2 linked regions of the Danio rerio genome follow. The protein of the gene in region 1 purifies or fractionates together with the protein of each later gene. This does not show direct contact. Links are inferred from orthologs where the notes say so. Each region holds a gene or a part of one and is shown in the gene's direction. Other genes may lie near its edges.

What was found. Proteins that work in one complex are often made in the same cells at the same time.
Region 2: the proteins of ddb2 (region 1) and cops8 purify together in Homo sapiens (affinity purification with mass spectrometry; 6 studies listed by BioGRID and IntAct, counting the BioPlex papers as one, with this or other methods). This does not show direct contact. The link is inferred for Danio rerio from reciprocal best matches to the Homo sapiens genes DDB2 and COPS8.

The regions. Positions count from the first base shown.
Region 1 is NC_133193.1:21,853,469-21,861,745, forward strand, and holds the start of ddb2 (DNA damage-binding protein 2), read left to right. Parts: upstream 1-3,322; 5' UTR 3,323-3,471; intron 3,472-3,576; 5' UTR 3,577-3,590; coding exon 3,591-3,738; intron 3,739-3,850; coding exon 3,851-3,972; intron 3,973-4,274; coding exon 4,275-4,466; intron 4,467-6,944; exon of another isoform or gene 6,945-7,084; coding exon of another isoform or gene 7,085-7,090; intron 7,091-8,149; coding exon 8,150-8,277.
Region 2 is NC_133184.1:25,519,990-25,527,619, forward strand, and holds the end of cops8 (COP9 signalosome complex subunit 8), read left to right. Parts: exon of another isoform or gene 1-37; coding exon of another isoform or gene 38-1,084; exon of another isoform or gene 1,085-1,429; intron 1,430-3,382; coding exon 3,383-3,490; intron 3,491-3,657; coding exon 3,658-3,720; intron 3,721-4,445; coding exon 4,446-4,525; 3' UTR 4,526-5,419; downstream 5,420-7,630. UniProt on the Homo sapiens protein: Component of the COP9 signalosome complex (CSN), a complex involved in various cellular and developmental processes.

The DNA.
Region 1 (8,277 bases):
CTACATGAAAATTGCCATCTCTGCCTCAAGTTCAAAAATGTTAGATGATCATTAACCTAAAGATGGAGAGCTGAGCTGAGGCGAAAGAAGGGGTACGTCTTTACCGCTTAAATACAGTAACTTGACACGTTTGTTGTTACTGTAGGTAGTCAAGCTTTCAGTTGGTTAATCATTGTTTAACAGACAGTGGAGAGATGTGTATAAAAAATAACATATGACTTGTGAACCTGAAATGATTCTGTGGGAATATACATACAAGGTAAAATATCTGCATATAGCCTAATTAATTAAGTAATCCAAGTATATCACCTGCATTCTACAATATCAATCATTTATTGCTGAACAATGAGGTACAATTTTGTTGCATTTGGCAACAACAGTACAATAGAATTACACCAAATCTGACACAAAATGAAACTAAAATATAGGCTAATGAATGGATCATACACTTATCAAAATGTGGAAGCTGTGATTGTTTTTTAACAATCACAATACACATAGCATAAAATGTGTCATATTAACACACATCATTTTGAAAAAAAAAAGTACAATAAATCTACAATGCCCAATAAATGTTACTCATCACCTGAACTGTGAAATGTCATTTTAATGAGATGCATTTTTGTTGTATTTGGCAATCACAAAACTATGAATATATTTAAGTAACAAAAATGCCAAAAAAAATAAACCAACAAAAGAACGCGTTTACTTGTTTGTTTCAGGCAGAAAAAAAACAACAACAAATCATACACCTAATTGCATGGTAAAACCATTGTTTATAGCATATTGATTTCAAAAATTGGCTTGATTAACGTATGATAAAACATGTCAGGACAATTGAGGCCAGAAAAATACCTAGTCTAATTATGTAAAAAAGCATTATTTCTGTGCAAACACGCGATTGTATATTTGAAGTAAAGCTCATTTCTCACAATGAACAGCACGTGGCCTAATTTCACACTGAAAATGCCAGGTAAAGTAGCCTACTTATTCAGGTAATCATGTAACCAACACCGAGATTAAAACAATATTATACCAGATCAATATTCTATCAAATATATATTTTAATAAAACACCACTTATTTCTCAAAAACAACAGCATAGATATTTACAGCTCAAGTGTGTTTGTTGGCACACTTACCGTCATATGGAGATGTGGTTTCGGCGTTCAGTGTGTGTGAACTGAATAAACAACATACAGTGAATGTTTGAGTTTTCCCTCCTGACACACAGAGTGGCGAGTGGGAGGAAAACATGCCTTTCTTTGTTTTCGTTGTCAGCTGTAAGTCCCTGCTCTTCTGTGATTGGTCAGTACACACATCCTGAACGCGCCGTATCCAAGACGCTCAAATCTCTCACTGCAGAGAGTGGTCTGCCCCTGTAATTGTTTGTATCTCATATTTTTAAAAAATATTTACTTGAAAACTGCTGTCAATTATTTTATTTAATTATTGTATTAATTTTCATGTTCAAAAAATAAAGCATAAAAATAAATGGAAATATATGGTTGTTTTATAGGATATACTGTTATCAAGCTCTTATAATAATTTAGCTTGAACTGAGACTTTAATCAACGTGCAGTGAAGGTTAGTAAAGCACGTCTTTTTACTGCACCAACTACAGATTTTTTTAGTTTGACTACAGTTTTTAAGTATCCAAAAGCGAAAATAGTTAGGCCTATTTACATTTACAATCGAAAAAAATGCACACCATTCCTTCATGTTGTCCTAACACTTGAGAAGTTTCACATGCAAAGGCAATGACTATTACTCCCCCTTTAAGTTTTTCTGTAAAGATTTTAAAATATTTTATAATTCTTTGACCTCTATTACAAGAAACAAGAAGACTATAAAACATCTCTAATAATGAAAAGAAATTATATATATATATATATATATATATATATATATATATATATATATATATATATATATATATATATATATATATATATATATATACATACATACAGTTGAAGTCAAAATTATTAGCCCCCCTGAATTATTAGAGCCCTGTTTATTTATTTTTTTCTCAATTTCTGTTTGACGGAGAGAAGATTTTTTTTCAACATTTCTAAACATAATAGTTTTAATAATTATTTCTAATAACTGATTTATTTTATCTTTGCCATGATGACAGTAAATAATATTTGACTAGATATTTTTCAGGACACTTCTATACAGCACAAAGTGACATTTAAAGGCTTAAATAGGTTAATTAGGTTTACTAGGCAGGTTAGGGTAATTAGGCAAGTTATTGTATAACGATGGTTTGTTCTGCAGACTATCAAAAAAATATATAGCTTAAAGGGGCTAATAATATTGACCTTAAAATGGATTTTTAAAAATTAAAAACAAATTTTATTATAGTCGAAATAAAACAATTAAAACTTTATCCTGAAGAAAAAATATAATCAGACATACTGTGAAAATTTCTTTGCTCTGTTAAACATAACTTGGAAAATAATTAAAAAAGAAAAAAATAAATCCTAAGGGGGGCAAATAATTCTGACTAATAATTTGTATATATACTGTTACATATGTCATCGTATAATCCTGTATGCTTGTCAGTTATATGCTTAAATAAAAAATAAATAAAAAGTAATAAAATAAAAATAATAAAAATTTAAAACAAAATAAATAAAAAACACAAATCAATTAAGTTTATTCAATTAAGTTGTCCCCAAAAACCTCAAGAATTGTGTTGATTCAGCTCATTTGAAATAAGTAGTTTAAAGAAAGTAGCCAAAATCATTTTTGAGTGAATTCTTTAGTAGAACATTTAAGAAGATTTTATAGACATTTAGAATTGTTTTGAGCTGATATTGTGGTTCTTGATTTTTAAAAACTGTAAAACAAAATGTATGCAAATATAACCAAAGTTTAAATATATTTTTTTAAATGTAATAATTTGATTATTTCTGTTACATTTCTGTTATTTTTCTGAACTATAATTGCCATGCATGATTATCTAATCTATCTGCCCATAGTTAAATAAGAAAGCTGCCAAAACAACTGTACTGCTGAAATAATAATATCATTATAATCATTACTTTTAAATTATCAAATCTCTTTATGTTTTATTTCTTTTGATACATTTTTTATTGGATTTTCTTTAAATATTTGTTTTTCTTTCATGTATTGGCATGTATACACACTTATGTAGCTGTACAATGAATTTGTATAATTTGTTTTCAAGTCACGCAATATTAATACACATGAATGTTTTATGCATCCCGTTACTAATGTTAATTTTAAAAAATCATGATTAGCTCAGTCTTCCTCTGCCAACATAGGCTCTAGCGGCACCTAGTGGATAAATTGTTTATCGCACTCAACGATTACAAAACATTCAATCTTCTACGTCACTGAATGTAGTGAAAATTCGTGTCTGTGCACGTGTGCGGTGTTGATCTGGCCAATTTTGGGTCTCATGGCGGATGTATCCTTAAACACTTGAAAGAAAGACAAGGTAACGTTGTGCATGATTGTAGTCGAACGGGTCATTATCTATATTTTGTTCTCACGAGTAATGCAATTGCTATATGACATGTCTTTGTTGACCCTTTCCAATCAGAAAGTAGCTTTGCAATGGCGCGAGGAAGAGCTCAGACAGACTCTGCTGCATCGAAGCAGACGAAGACTGTCAATTCAAAGAAAAGACCGAATGAAGAAACTCCGCAACCTTCCACCAAAAAGCTGAAAGCTAAACAACAACATAAGAGCAAACAAAAAGAAGGTAAGCGAAACTGCGAGTTAAGTTATATAATTGATTGGGTTTAAATGTGCAAAGAAAAAGTTGAACCACTCATTAATGTAATCTTATGAGGTAAACTGTGTTTGTGTACCAGAAACCTATATACAAGCAAGTGTGAAATGGACAGGAGGTCAAAAGAAAGTGGGCCAAACAAGCATTCTTCATTACATTTACAAAAGTTCATTGGGACAGAGTATCCATGCTCAACTGCGCCAGGTAATGACAATTGAAGTTTGGGGAAAGAAGATTAAAGTACACCAGTTACTCGCTAGAATGTTAGATATCGCCACCCATATTAAATAATGATTTAATGTTGTATGAAAATCATACATTTTTAAAGAAGCTTAGTACATGACTGCAGAATTATGCAGCATATGTATTTCAACTATACAGTAAAAAACATAATTTCCCCCTTCTTGTCTTAACTTTGGCATTTGTTCATTTTGGTGACATATTTGCCACAAACTCCTATTTATATCTGAACCTGGTCGTATAAAACATTGTTTCTTGTGTTACAGTGTCTGCAAGAGCCTTTCATACGCTCACTTAAATCTTACAAGCTGCACCGAACTGCCAGTCCCTTTGACAGGAGGGTCACTAGTCTGGAATGGCATCCCACACATCCCACCACCGTTGCAGTGGGATCAAAGGGTGGAGACATCATCCTGTGGGATTATGATGTGCTGAATAAAACCTCTTTCATACAAGGGGTGAGATGAATTGAAAAGTGACGAATGTATTGTTCAAATCTAACCAAGACATTTAGACACTAGACGGTATATATAATTTGTGTAAAGTATACATAACCTTCATTTTTAAGTGTCACATCAGTTTTCAAATTCAATAGACCTGGGGTGCCCAGGCTTGGTCCAGGAGGGCTGGTGTCCTGCAAATTTTAGCTCCAACTTGTCTCAGCAGATCTGCATGGACGTTTCTAGAAAGCTTGGCTGTGTCTATAATTGCCTGCTACTTAGTAGGTACTGCATTTGACTTTAAATGAACTACTCGGCCGTTAGAAAAGTATGTTCTATACACTATGAATGTCACTAATATGAATAAAACTCGGATGTACTACATTCGACATTTTGACCACGTTTACACTGCCAGTTAAATGTGACCCAAATACTGTTCTATGACCGTGTAAACCAGTGGTCACCAAACTTGTTTCTGGAGGGCTGGTGCCCTACAGATTTTAGCTCCAACCGTAATCAAACACACCTGAACAAGCTAATCAAGGTCTTACTAGGTATACTTAAAACATCCAGGCAGGTGTGTTGAGGCAAGTTGAAGCTAAACCCTGCAGGGACACCGGCCCTCCAGGACCGAGATTGGTGACCCCTGGTGTAAATGAATGCATTCAGATATTCGGATATCAGTTTCAGGCCTCCATCATATGTGAAAATAAAACTAACATACTGTAAATCAGATATGTGGCAATGCGACTATCATGTAAAGAAGCAGATTGGATTTATTGCGGCATTTCGTTATGTACGTCATTAAAATTCTGACAATGTTGTACTTCTCTGCGGTTTAATGACATAGAAGGAAGAGCGTGTGTGCTCATCCTAAAATTTCAGACCCGCCACTCCTCATTAAAGCCCGCCACAATTTGCTCCCACCAGACATGAGATCTCTGTCGTAGCCACAGATCCCTCTGAATGGTGGAGGACACCATATATAAACCATAGGCGCAAGCATGTAATGACAGCTCTTTCCCTCCTTCTCTTCCTCCGCCTTAAAATCATATTAAAGTTGGGCGAACTTTGCATATTTCGCTGAGCTGAAAGCAAGACAACTTCTTCCATCATGGCTAGTGTGGCACAGATGCTAGAACCCGCCTTTACGCGTGCCAACAGCGTAAATTGTATGGCAAGTGTAAACATATGAATTGGCTACGGACAGGCAAAAAAATCAGATATCGGCAACAAATCAAAATTGGGCATCAAGACCTGACAGTGTCAGTGTGGCCTTTGTCATCATCATGTGACCTACCTGTGTCAGTTGCGTCGCTTCCATTCATAAATTCTCTTGTGGTGTATCATGGAATATCGTAGCGTCTATCTAAAGCGGTTGTTGCTAGATCGGATATAGTTGCCGCCAGAAGTTAACAAGAATTGTTTATATTATTTATTAAATTTCCCATTTATTGTATTTTATTAAGGTCTACCCCAATCCTAAACCCAACCGTCACAGTACTGTACAGATATTAATTATTGTCACACAGTGTCATAAAAAAGGCTGCTATATTAATGTGCATATCGCACTTCCAGCCGGCGGAAGTAGTAGGTCATCTGGGTACTTCTCGCATACTGTTTATTAAATTCTATGATATCAGACATACTACTTGGCTTGCATACTGTTTTAGTGTACTATATAGTGTGGAAGTATACGATTTCGGACACAATTTTTTGTAAGAGCTTGATTAGCTAGACCTGGTATGTCTGATTGGAATTAAAACTAAACTTTGCAGGACACCGGCCCTTCAGGATCGAGTTTGGGCACCCCTACTATAGACACTGGGGTCTATTCGAAGCTAATTCATTTTAAGTTTATGTTTGTTTCCTTTTCAGATTAATGTACTTAATAGTCTTATGGTTAGTTATATACTCTTTAAGAGTTCTGTTTTTAATTCTGGTAATAATTACTTACACTTATAGTGCTCCGATCCTCTGAGACTTTTGTTCATCTTCAGAACACTAATTTATATTTTAGTTGAAATCCGAGAGCTCTCTAACCTTCCATAGACAGCAACAGTCTCGAGATTTTCTGACTTGATGTGGAAGACATTGGCAAAACATAATAGTTTTGACCTTTTTTTGGTGCACAAAAGAGTTCTCGAAGCTTCATATGTTTACATCACCACTGAAGTTACATGGAGTGTCTTGACAAGGTTTTTGGTCATTTACTTATACTTGAACATCACATGACCATTGATATCCATGCAGAACAAAGGGGATCTCGTATGTTATCTAATATATCATAATTTGTGTTCAGTAGATAGTAGTAATGTTCAGAAAATGAACAAAGGTCTCAGGGTATTGAAACGGCATTAAGGCAACCTAGCCATTTAAACATCTTCAGAAGTAAAAGTAAAGTTCAACATTTTCAGATTAGCACACAAATACAGAAAAACTTTTAAAAAATGCAGTTTTAGTGACTTGAGATTTTCTCCTCTGCTCTTCATCTAGATGGGTCCTGGAGATGCAATAACAGGCATGAAGTTTAACCAGTTCAATACCAATCAGCTGTTCGTCTCCTCTATTTGGGGTGCTACTACCCTTCGGGATTTCAGTGGATCCGTTATACAAGTCTTTGCCAAAACAGATTCATGGGAGTAAGCGAATTCCTGTTATAGCAGTTAAGGCCGTTCTCCCCCTAGTCCAATGGTCTCAAACTCAATTCCTGGAGCGCCGCAGCTCTGCACAGTTTAGCTCCAACCATCACCAACTCACACCTGCTTAATAGTCTCTAGTAGTCTTGAACATCTTAATTAGTTGCGTCAGCTGTGTTTGATTAGGGTCAGAGAAAACTGTGCATAGTGGCAGCCCTCCAGGAATCGAGTTTTAGACTTATGCCCTAGTTAGTTTAAAAAAGATTTGCAGTACCAAAAACTGGCAGTTTTCTTTAATCAAATTCAATAATCTGTTATTTTATCGGGCATTTCTGTTTCTTTAGCTGATTTACAGCATGGGTTGTGCTTTAGTAACACAGCATCTAGTTTAAGAATTACTATTTTGTCGCTGATTGAACACGTTGGACCACATTACACCACAAGAATTGGTACACAGTTTACACTACAAGAGCAATCCAGGATGTGTTTTTATCTACCACTGGATGTGATTGAAAGTGGATTAACCTTAAAATGTTTTATTCCCCGTGTACACTCGTATATCGCAATGGCCACTCAGACTGGCAAAACCCAGCTTAGGCTGTTTTCGTTGGTAGTTTCATTTCAAATATCAAGTGAGTACTATATGTATTTGTGTGTTGTTCTTCTGATTGGTATGAAGTTGGATAAACGCTGTGATAGATCAGAGGACGAAATCATAGCTTTGTTTTTTTGTTTTTGTTTTTTTTTTTGTTTAGCTTTTAGCTATACTGTACATGACAGTGTTCAGTGTCAGTGTCTTGATTTGTCATAATTTTGTTGCTTTTATGTTAAGGTAATGTTTGTTTGTTGAGATAATATGCTCAATATCATTGTTGACCACTAGTAAAATGTATATTTGAAGGTTAACATGAACCTTCTTCTTTATGTTGTTGTGTTGGTTTAGTTGCATTGTCATCATCGTTCAACCCACTGTCATCATTGCCTATTGAGTCCAGCATCGTCACAGCCATTTTGAGTTTGGCACATTTAATGAGCGTGTTTTTGTCTGTTGTGTCCATCCAGAAGGGAGCAGGTGACTTTATTGGGGGTATGAAGTTCTGCCCCAGAGATTCATCTAAAGTCTTTGTGGCTTCCGGTGATGGCACAGTCAGCGTGCAGAGTTTTGAGGGCCTCCAAAGTCAGATATTGTC
Region 2 (7,630 bases), on another chromosome or scaffold:
AAGTGATACAGCAAAAGGAGCCAGAGCAACCACCAACATGGACATTCAGCGAACTGCCTCTTTGTTGGGGACTCCTGACTCGATGGAGAGCCTTGAGAAACAGCTAAGCTGCCCAATATGTCTGGACATGTTTACCAAACCAGTGGTCATCCTGCCGTGTCAGCATAACCTGTGTCGAGGATGTGCTAGTGATCTTTATGACTCTCGAAACCCTTATCGTTTCTCTGGTGGTGTTTTTCGGTGCCCAACTTGTCGATTTGAAGTGGTTCTTGATCGCCATGGTGTGCATGGACTTCAGAGGAATCTTCTTGTTGAGAACATAATCGACATTTACAAACAGCAACAAGAGGGTGGTGGAGGAGGTGGTGGCAGCACCACTGAAAGTCCAATAAAACCCAAAAGCTCCAAAGAGCTAATGTGTCAAGAACACGAGGACGAGAAGATCAACATCTACTGCGTTACTCACCAAACTCCCACTTGTTCCATGTGTAAGGTATTTGGCCAGCATAAGGACTGTGAGGTGTCACCACTTGCTAGTGTCTATCAGGCTCAAAAGGGAGAGCTGAGCAATGCCATTGATGCTCTTGTGGCGGGGAATGGCCGCCTTCAGGCGTTGCTTAACCAGATGGAGGAGGCCTGCACAGCTGTTCAGGACAATGCTCAACGTGCCAAACAAAAGCTTGGCGAATGCTTCGATTCCCTCTATGCAGCCTTGGAGGAGCGTAAAAATGCCCTCTTAGAGCGTATTGGCAAAGAGCAAGACGAGAAGGTTGGTGCACTCAGGAGTTTGGCTAGGCGTTATGGGGACCGTCTTCAGGCAGCCACAGAGTTAACAGACATGGCAGTTCAGGCTCTGGAGCAAAGTGGTGCCGCAGAGTTCCTGCAGGCCTCCAAGAACCTGATCTCCCAGACAAAAGACGCAGCAAAGAGCTCACTTGCTGAAGAAAGGCCCGAGCCAGGCTTTGAAAGAATGGACCATTTCACTTTGGATACGGAGCAGGTGGAGACTTTGTTGTCCAAGATGGACTTTGGAGGAGAGGATGATGAGGAATTTGAAGACGCTGAAGATCAAGAAGAGGAGTAAATAAGTTGGAAGAAAAGAAGAGGTTTAGGAAGGTTTAGCAAGGTCATTGACAAATGAGAAAATAGAAGTTTTAATATTCGTATTTCACTGCTAAGCAGTGTTGTCATTTCAACATGTATAATCAAAAGAATATTTCCAAATAACTAGGTGCCATTTTTTATACTTTTTATAATTTAGTCAAAATGCTGCTGTTGTTCTTAAAAGTTATCTTCCTACTTTTGTTTCGCTCAGAAATGAGTCACTGTTGTTTATTTCTGCAGTCTGTTGTTACTAGTTCTGTATTTTCAGTTTACTCTGTTTTTTAATGTTCTTTATTGTTTGAAAATAAATAAAATTGAAAATTGAGATTTGAGTTTTTACATTTATTTATTGTTCATACGTACTGTACAAATCAACATTCACATTTAAAGATACAATGGAAGTCTTGGAGTTAATCAGAGGTAACTGTACACAAGTAAACTCTGTGCACTCTTTGCTCTCAACTGTCTTCTCTGGCTAAAGGCACATGCTATTTTTAAAAGGTAAGAGGATGAGATATGGCTCTGGGGTAGAATACCAGAAGAGGACAGATGGCCATTGCTTCCCTTACCACCACCCACCATCCAGTCTCTGCCTTGCTCAGCAGCTCTTCATTATATATACAGTTAAAGTCAGAATTATTAGCCCCCTTTGCAGAAAGTCTTATTTTTATTTTATTTATTTTTTTGACCAGAATAAAAGCAGTTTTACATTTTTAAAACACCATTTTAGGGACAAAATTATAAGCCTCTTTAAGCTATATTTATTCTCGATAGTCTACAGAACAAACCATCATTATACAATAATAACGGCTAATAATTTTGATTTAAAGATCCCTGCATAACATGCACATGTCTGCCTTTAAATTTTAAAACGGCAGTCTTGTAGCCACTTCTGACCTCTCTGGAGTTGCATTCAAGTAGCTGTAAGTAAACACTGTTGCTATGAGAGAGCTATTTATTTAGTTCAAGAGCTGAAGATGTTTGGAAGTATCTGTAAGCATTTGACTTCTGCCCATTAATAGGACAAACATCTAAATAAAGATGTTTAATTTATAACATTTTAAACAAAATATTATATATCTGAAATGTTTACTTTTGTTGTTCATGCATGCAAATAATGATTAATTTTATGTATTAGATAATTATTATAATTATGACAGAAAATGTTTTTTGTCCTATAGAAACATTAAGTGACAATCTAGTATGCATAATGACTATTCAGTAATGATTTCATTTGTTTCTCTGCTTTATGTAATTATGTGTGGGAATTATGCTATTCTTAAATCATGTTATGTCTCCTCAGTTTGAGTCATTTCATTATAAAATGGATTAAAAAATTAAAGGAAAATTTTTAAGAGATGAATGCATATGATGGTATTGAAGTAATTTTATTTTGCTCAAAATGAAAGCAAAAATTTTTCCCATAATTTTACTTTTTAGTCTCTTCAATTTGGTAAATAAATAAAATGTAATACTTCAAAGTGTATTATTGATTAAATTAATGATTAAAGTAAAAAAAAAAAAAAATACAAATATTTAATTAAATAAAAAATCTTACTGACTTCAATTCTAGATTGAACTAATAATTCTTTGGTCAGTTGTGAATAGGGCATCTTGTAACTAAAAATGTACTTTGCTTTTATTATGTTGATACTTTTCATGTGAATGGGCGCCACTATTTTTTGGTGGTATTGACAAGTGAAACAAAGTAAGTTGCCCATTCCATAAGTTTATGGCATAATTGTTCAACATATGTAAGAAATGCCATATTAGTTAGACATGTATGAACTAGGGCTGCTCAGTGTATCGTTTTAGCATTGATATCGCAATGTGATCATTCACAAAAGTCACATTACAAGTATATGCAATGATGAGTCTGGATTATAATTTATTATGTTATATTTTACAATTGATTATTCAATTACTGTATACCTGAATACAGTTCTACTGCTCAGAAAACAATAAAATGCTTTATGAATAAATATATATTTTTATTTTGTGTTTTTTTCTTTATTCAATTTATTTATGCTTGTAGATAATAATACATTCATTTCAAATAGTTATTCAACTGATCTAAGTGAAATTCTATTTTTATCACAATATATATCGCAGAATAAAAAAAGAATTGTAATGTTATATTTTTCCAATATCGTGCAGCCCTAGTATAAACGATGGCCACAGATTCCTAAAAAATAGTGTTTGAAACCAAAATGCTGAAAAAACAAAAACAAGAATAACCTTTTTAAAAATCTTTTTCTTTATTTTGTGTTTCTTGTAGAGTCAACTCGTAGGAGGGCATATGGGCTAGTGGCTCAAGCTTACACCTCTATCAGTGCAGAAGACTTTGCTGCTTTTGTGGGATACTCGGTAGAAGAGGCCGTCAAAGGTGCGTGTTTTTGAGATTTGAGTGCTCATTGCTTGGACTTTCATATGTTTATTATTATTTTTACTCCAACCATTAATTTTTAGTTCATGTCTTTCTTTATGGTCTTTTGCAAAGAAATATAATGTAATGTTTTTGTCATTTAAATGTTCTTTTGTTTTTTGCTCAAGGTGTAGTAAGTCATGGGTGGCAGGCAGATCCAAACACCAGGATGATCATGCCACAGAAACCAGGTGGGGGCGCTGTTTCACTTCTTATTACTAGCAAGAACAGATGTTATTTTTCAACTTTATGACTCATTTCTCCATAAGGTTTCATTCATTGCCCCTCCTCTGAACAGAAACTTATTCCATTGAGTTCTGCACGGTTATTTCATAACAAGCACATGAAATGGTGACTTCACCTCGATTCCACTTATGTTCTTTGTTCTCCGACTCTCAAATATGCCTTCATTTTGTAACTGACAAGAATCTCTGTAGATCCTGCTCACCTTTAGCTCATGGTTCTGAACGATGCAGCTATTTGCCTTGTTTTTGCACACAGCTTTTTATGTGTTTGCCTGGAACCACTGAGCAAACTTTTTACGAGACACATTTATTCCAAAAGAACAGGAACAAGCAGCATCTGGGTTTCTGCACGGGCCTCGTGAGACAGTGCAGATGTCTGTAATGCATTTGGGTAACTGATGATTGAGAAATGTTTCCCAGTACTGATGACCTGCAGCTTTCACTACAAGCAGCTGATGTTTATTAATTCAACATGGTTGCCATGACAATTTTCTTTTCTGGAGCTGTTGCATCTGTAGTGGACTCTCTTTCTTGCACACGTATTCATGCATTTGTTCTGCGGCACATCTTTGTTTACATTCATATGTCTGTGTGTTATACAGCAGATCATAGAGCGCTTGAAGGAATCCCCTCATCTCTCATGTTTCTCGTCTGCCTTCCCCTCTCTCCAGATCCGCCTCCGGTCTCGCTGGTTCCAAACGAACAACAGCTGGCCAGACTTACCGACTACGTGGCTTTTCTTGAGAACTGATAAGCACTCCGCCCTCTCCCATCCTCTTCCTCACCTTCTCTCAGATACTCTGTTTTTCAGAAGAAAGATTCTGGTGTCCAGGACCCTTCACGAATCCGGTCCTGTCCAGTGATGGAACTGCTGTCGCTCTCTTTCCTGTTTTGCTTCTTGAACCCGTCAGCCACAGTGATATAGGACAATTCCCAAATAGTTTTACATGTACAAATCTGCTTTGGAGTATGCTGTCAATATTGTAAATTATTATTTTTTGGCATAAATACTTCACTTTATGCACATTGTTCTGGTGGTTTCTGTTAGTTTAATTTTACGTGTCAAACAAAATCCCTCATTATGATTTGTTCATATGCCTGATGTCATTTTATAAGATTTTATACAATTAGCGGGGAATCAAGGTGGCTTGCAATACGTCGACCAAATTTTAAACCAAATGTGTGTGGGTATTTTACCTTTCTTAATCTAGAAAATAGGCCCATGCAAGTCTGCAAGTAAGTAGGTTTTTATGATTGTCCAGAAAAAAAGAAAAAACCCTTTGTCTTGAAGGTATTGTTTAGCAGTGCTAACAACCGACAGCTTATTTTGGGTGGCTCACAGTTGTATTTAAGATGTTTTCCACTGTCTGACAAGTGTTTTGTTGACAGTGCATCTCTGTCTGCTGTTCAGATGTTTTGCACCGCTTCCTTGGTTTCTCACGCAGAGTGGTTTTGAAAAAGAAGAGGAAACATACCAGCTGTTGGCTATCGTCATGTCCTTTCAGCTTAAGGATAAAAGCTCCATATGTGCTGAAACAACCGACACATATGGTACTGTGAGAAATTAACACCATTCATTTTTACTGATTGTTTGACCTTAAATGTTATCTTCACGATAAATGTCTTTAGTTTCTTGAAATGTTAATCTTGTGTCAATTTGCATCTTTGATTATATGACAGGCATAAAACATTCAGTAAACTAAGTAGTGTGTCCAAATATGGATGGCTGAGATTCAAAGTGTGCATCCGATGGACAGTTTGGCTACATTTACAAAACAGGGTTTGACTCCTAATTCCAGTTTGTTGAATATATTATGTTTTGAAAAAACTGTATACACCTTTAAAGTGACCTTTATCTGCTACCTTCTTATATGCTGTACACCGTTGCAGATGTACTGACCCTGAAACTAAAAGGTTTAAAACCATTTCTCCTGCACCACCTTTAATGTAAAGCACTGCTATCATTTGCTCAACATTTGCTTTTTCAAAACTCGTTTTCTGCTGTTGAACACAAAAGGAGATGTTTATGTGCCAATGGAGTACAAAGCCGTTGAAAAATTACGTTTACAACACATTTCAATGTTTAAAATCGGTCAACGTTATTAGTTTTATTAAATATATCACACTGCATATCTATGACCATACATTTAATACACAGTCTTATCAGTCTTCAAAGTTATGTGGAGATTGCTTTCAAAGTAACAAAAACAGAGAATAATGCTTCTGTCCATTCGGGTAAGAAATTCTGAATACACGCTTGTAATTTCCACTGAGAATATCAGAATCCACATGTGTTTTTTGCTCACATGATCATGGGTCATATCCAGTCTGAGCAACATGGGAGAAAACATTGGACACTTGTATAAAGAATTTATTTTACCGTAAGGCCATGGGAGATGATTTGAGAATGATTTTCTCAATGCACAAGTGCATTGAGTATTATAAAGACAAAATGCTGAAATACTGACAGAAACCTAATTTGTTAGCTCAGGAATTTCTTTGTGTTTCCATAGTAGTCTAAGAAATGGTACTCCTGAGAGGTAAATGTGTTGAAACAAAACACACAGACCTGCTTTTAATTATTGCTTGGTCCAGCCCAATTATCCTTTCTTTTACATTTATTTTATATTGTATAGTTTTTTGCTCTTTAAACAAGTACATAAAAACTTCAAAGGATATGTGTGGTGTTCTGAGATCATCATTGACCTTACATGACATCAAACAGTAATAAATGCAGACCAGCTGAACATCAGGAGCTGTCAGAGGTCACAGACACAGGCTTTATGGAGCAGCTGGTGCCCGCATGAAATTGCTAAGCTATTTGTTAAGCTAAAGAAAACTGAAATTTACTCTTTGAAAGATTTTTTTTACTTGACAAATGATAAATTGGTGTTGTTATGATGGTGTTTCCTTTAGTCTTTCAAATAAAACAAGCACCCCTGAGGAAGATTTACAAAAGCCAGATTTTACCTCCTCTTTGACAGATGTTTGTAAAAAGCTATTGGCCTTCCCTAATCAGTCTGCTTTTTCCAAAGGTTAAGGGTTATGTCTGTATCCCATCTTGCTAAATGCCACAGAGGTGACGTGATGTAAAGGTGAAGAGATTTCAAATCCCTCTGCTTTTAATCTCCTCTTTGAAGAGGTTTTGTTGTCATTTTTGTCCCTCAACACCAAGATAGCAGTTCGCCTGATGTTGAATCTTTTGTAAATGTGCTAAATAAGCATTTTCGACCTTTGTGTTACTTCTTAAAATGGTAATGTCTTTGTCTCCTTAAATGCAGCACTAAATACTGCACATTTCCTGCATCTGTTTAAATTTTCGATTCAACACCTTAAGTGTTGCCATCCTTCAAATCTAAACCTTACTGAAGTACTGTCTTTCTGTTTATGTACAGAGAGCGTTATGAACCATTGAGGGAGTAGGGTTATTTGTCAAAACACGAAGTAATAGATTTATTGAATTCAAATAAACAAAAATTCTGCCACATGTGCAGGGAAAATGTTTCCATGTGGGTGGATGAGTCATAGGCTTTTTTTCCAAGCTAAGAAGCATTAAAACTGAGTGTGCTTGTAGGAGACAGAGAAATAGTGTTTTATAGCTAAATATTCTGAAGTAGCTGTTTGTTCTGACTATCGTGTAAAACTATATAATTACAAAATCTTTTAGGTTTTCAAAGTTAATTGTTGCTGATGGTTCAAAAGAGGAGGGGAGGTTTGTGAGTAACCTCACCCAGTGTAAAGAGTGACTCATTTAATTTGCACCGAATTCCACAATTTTACCTGATTTTATTGTGTATTTCTCATGATGTTTGGTCAAGAAAAACTCAGGGGTAGAAAACTTTGCTTTCTCATTATG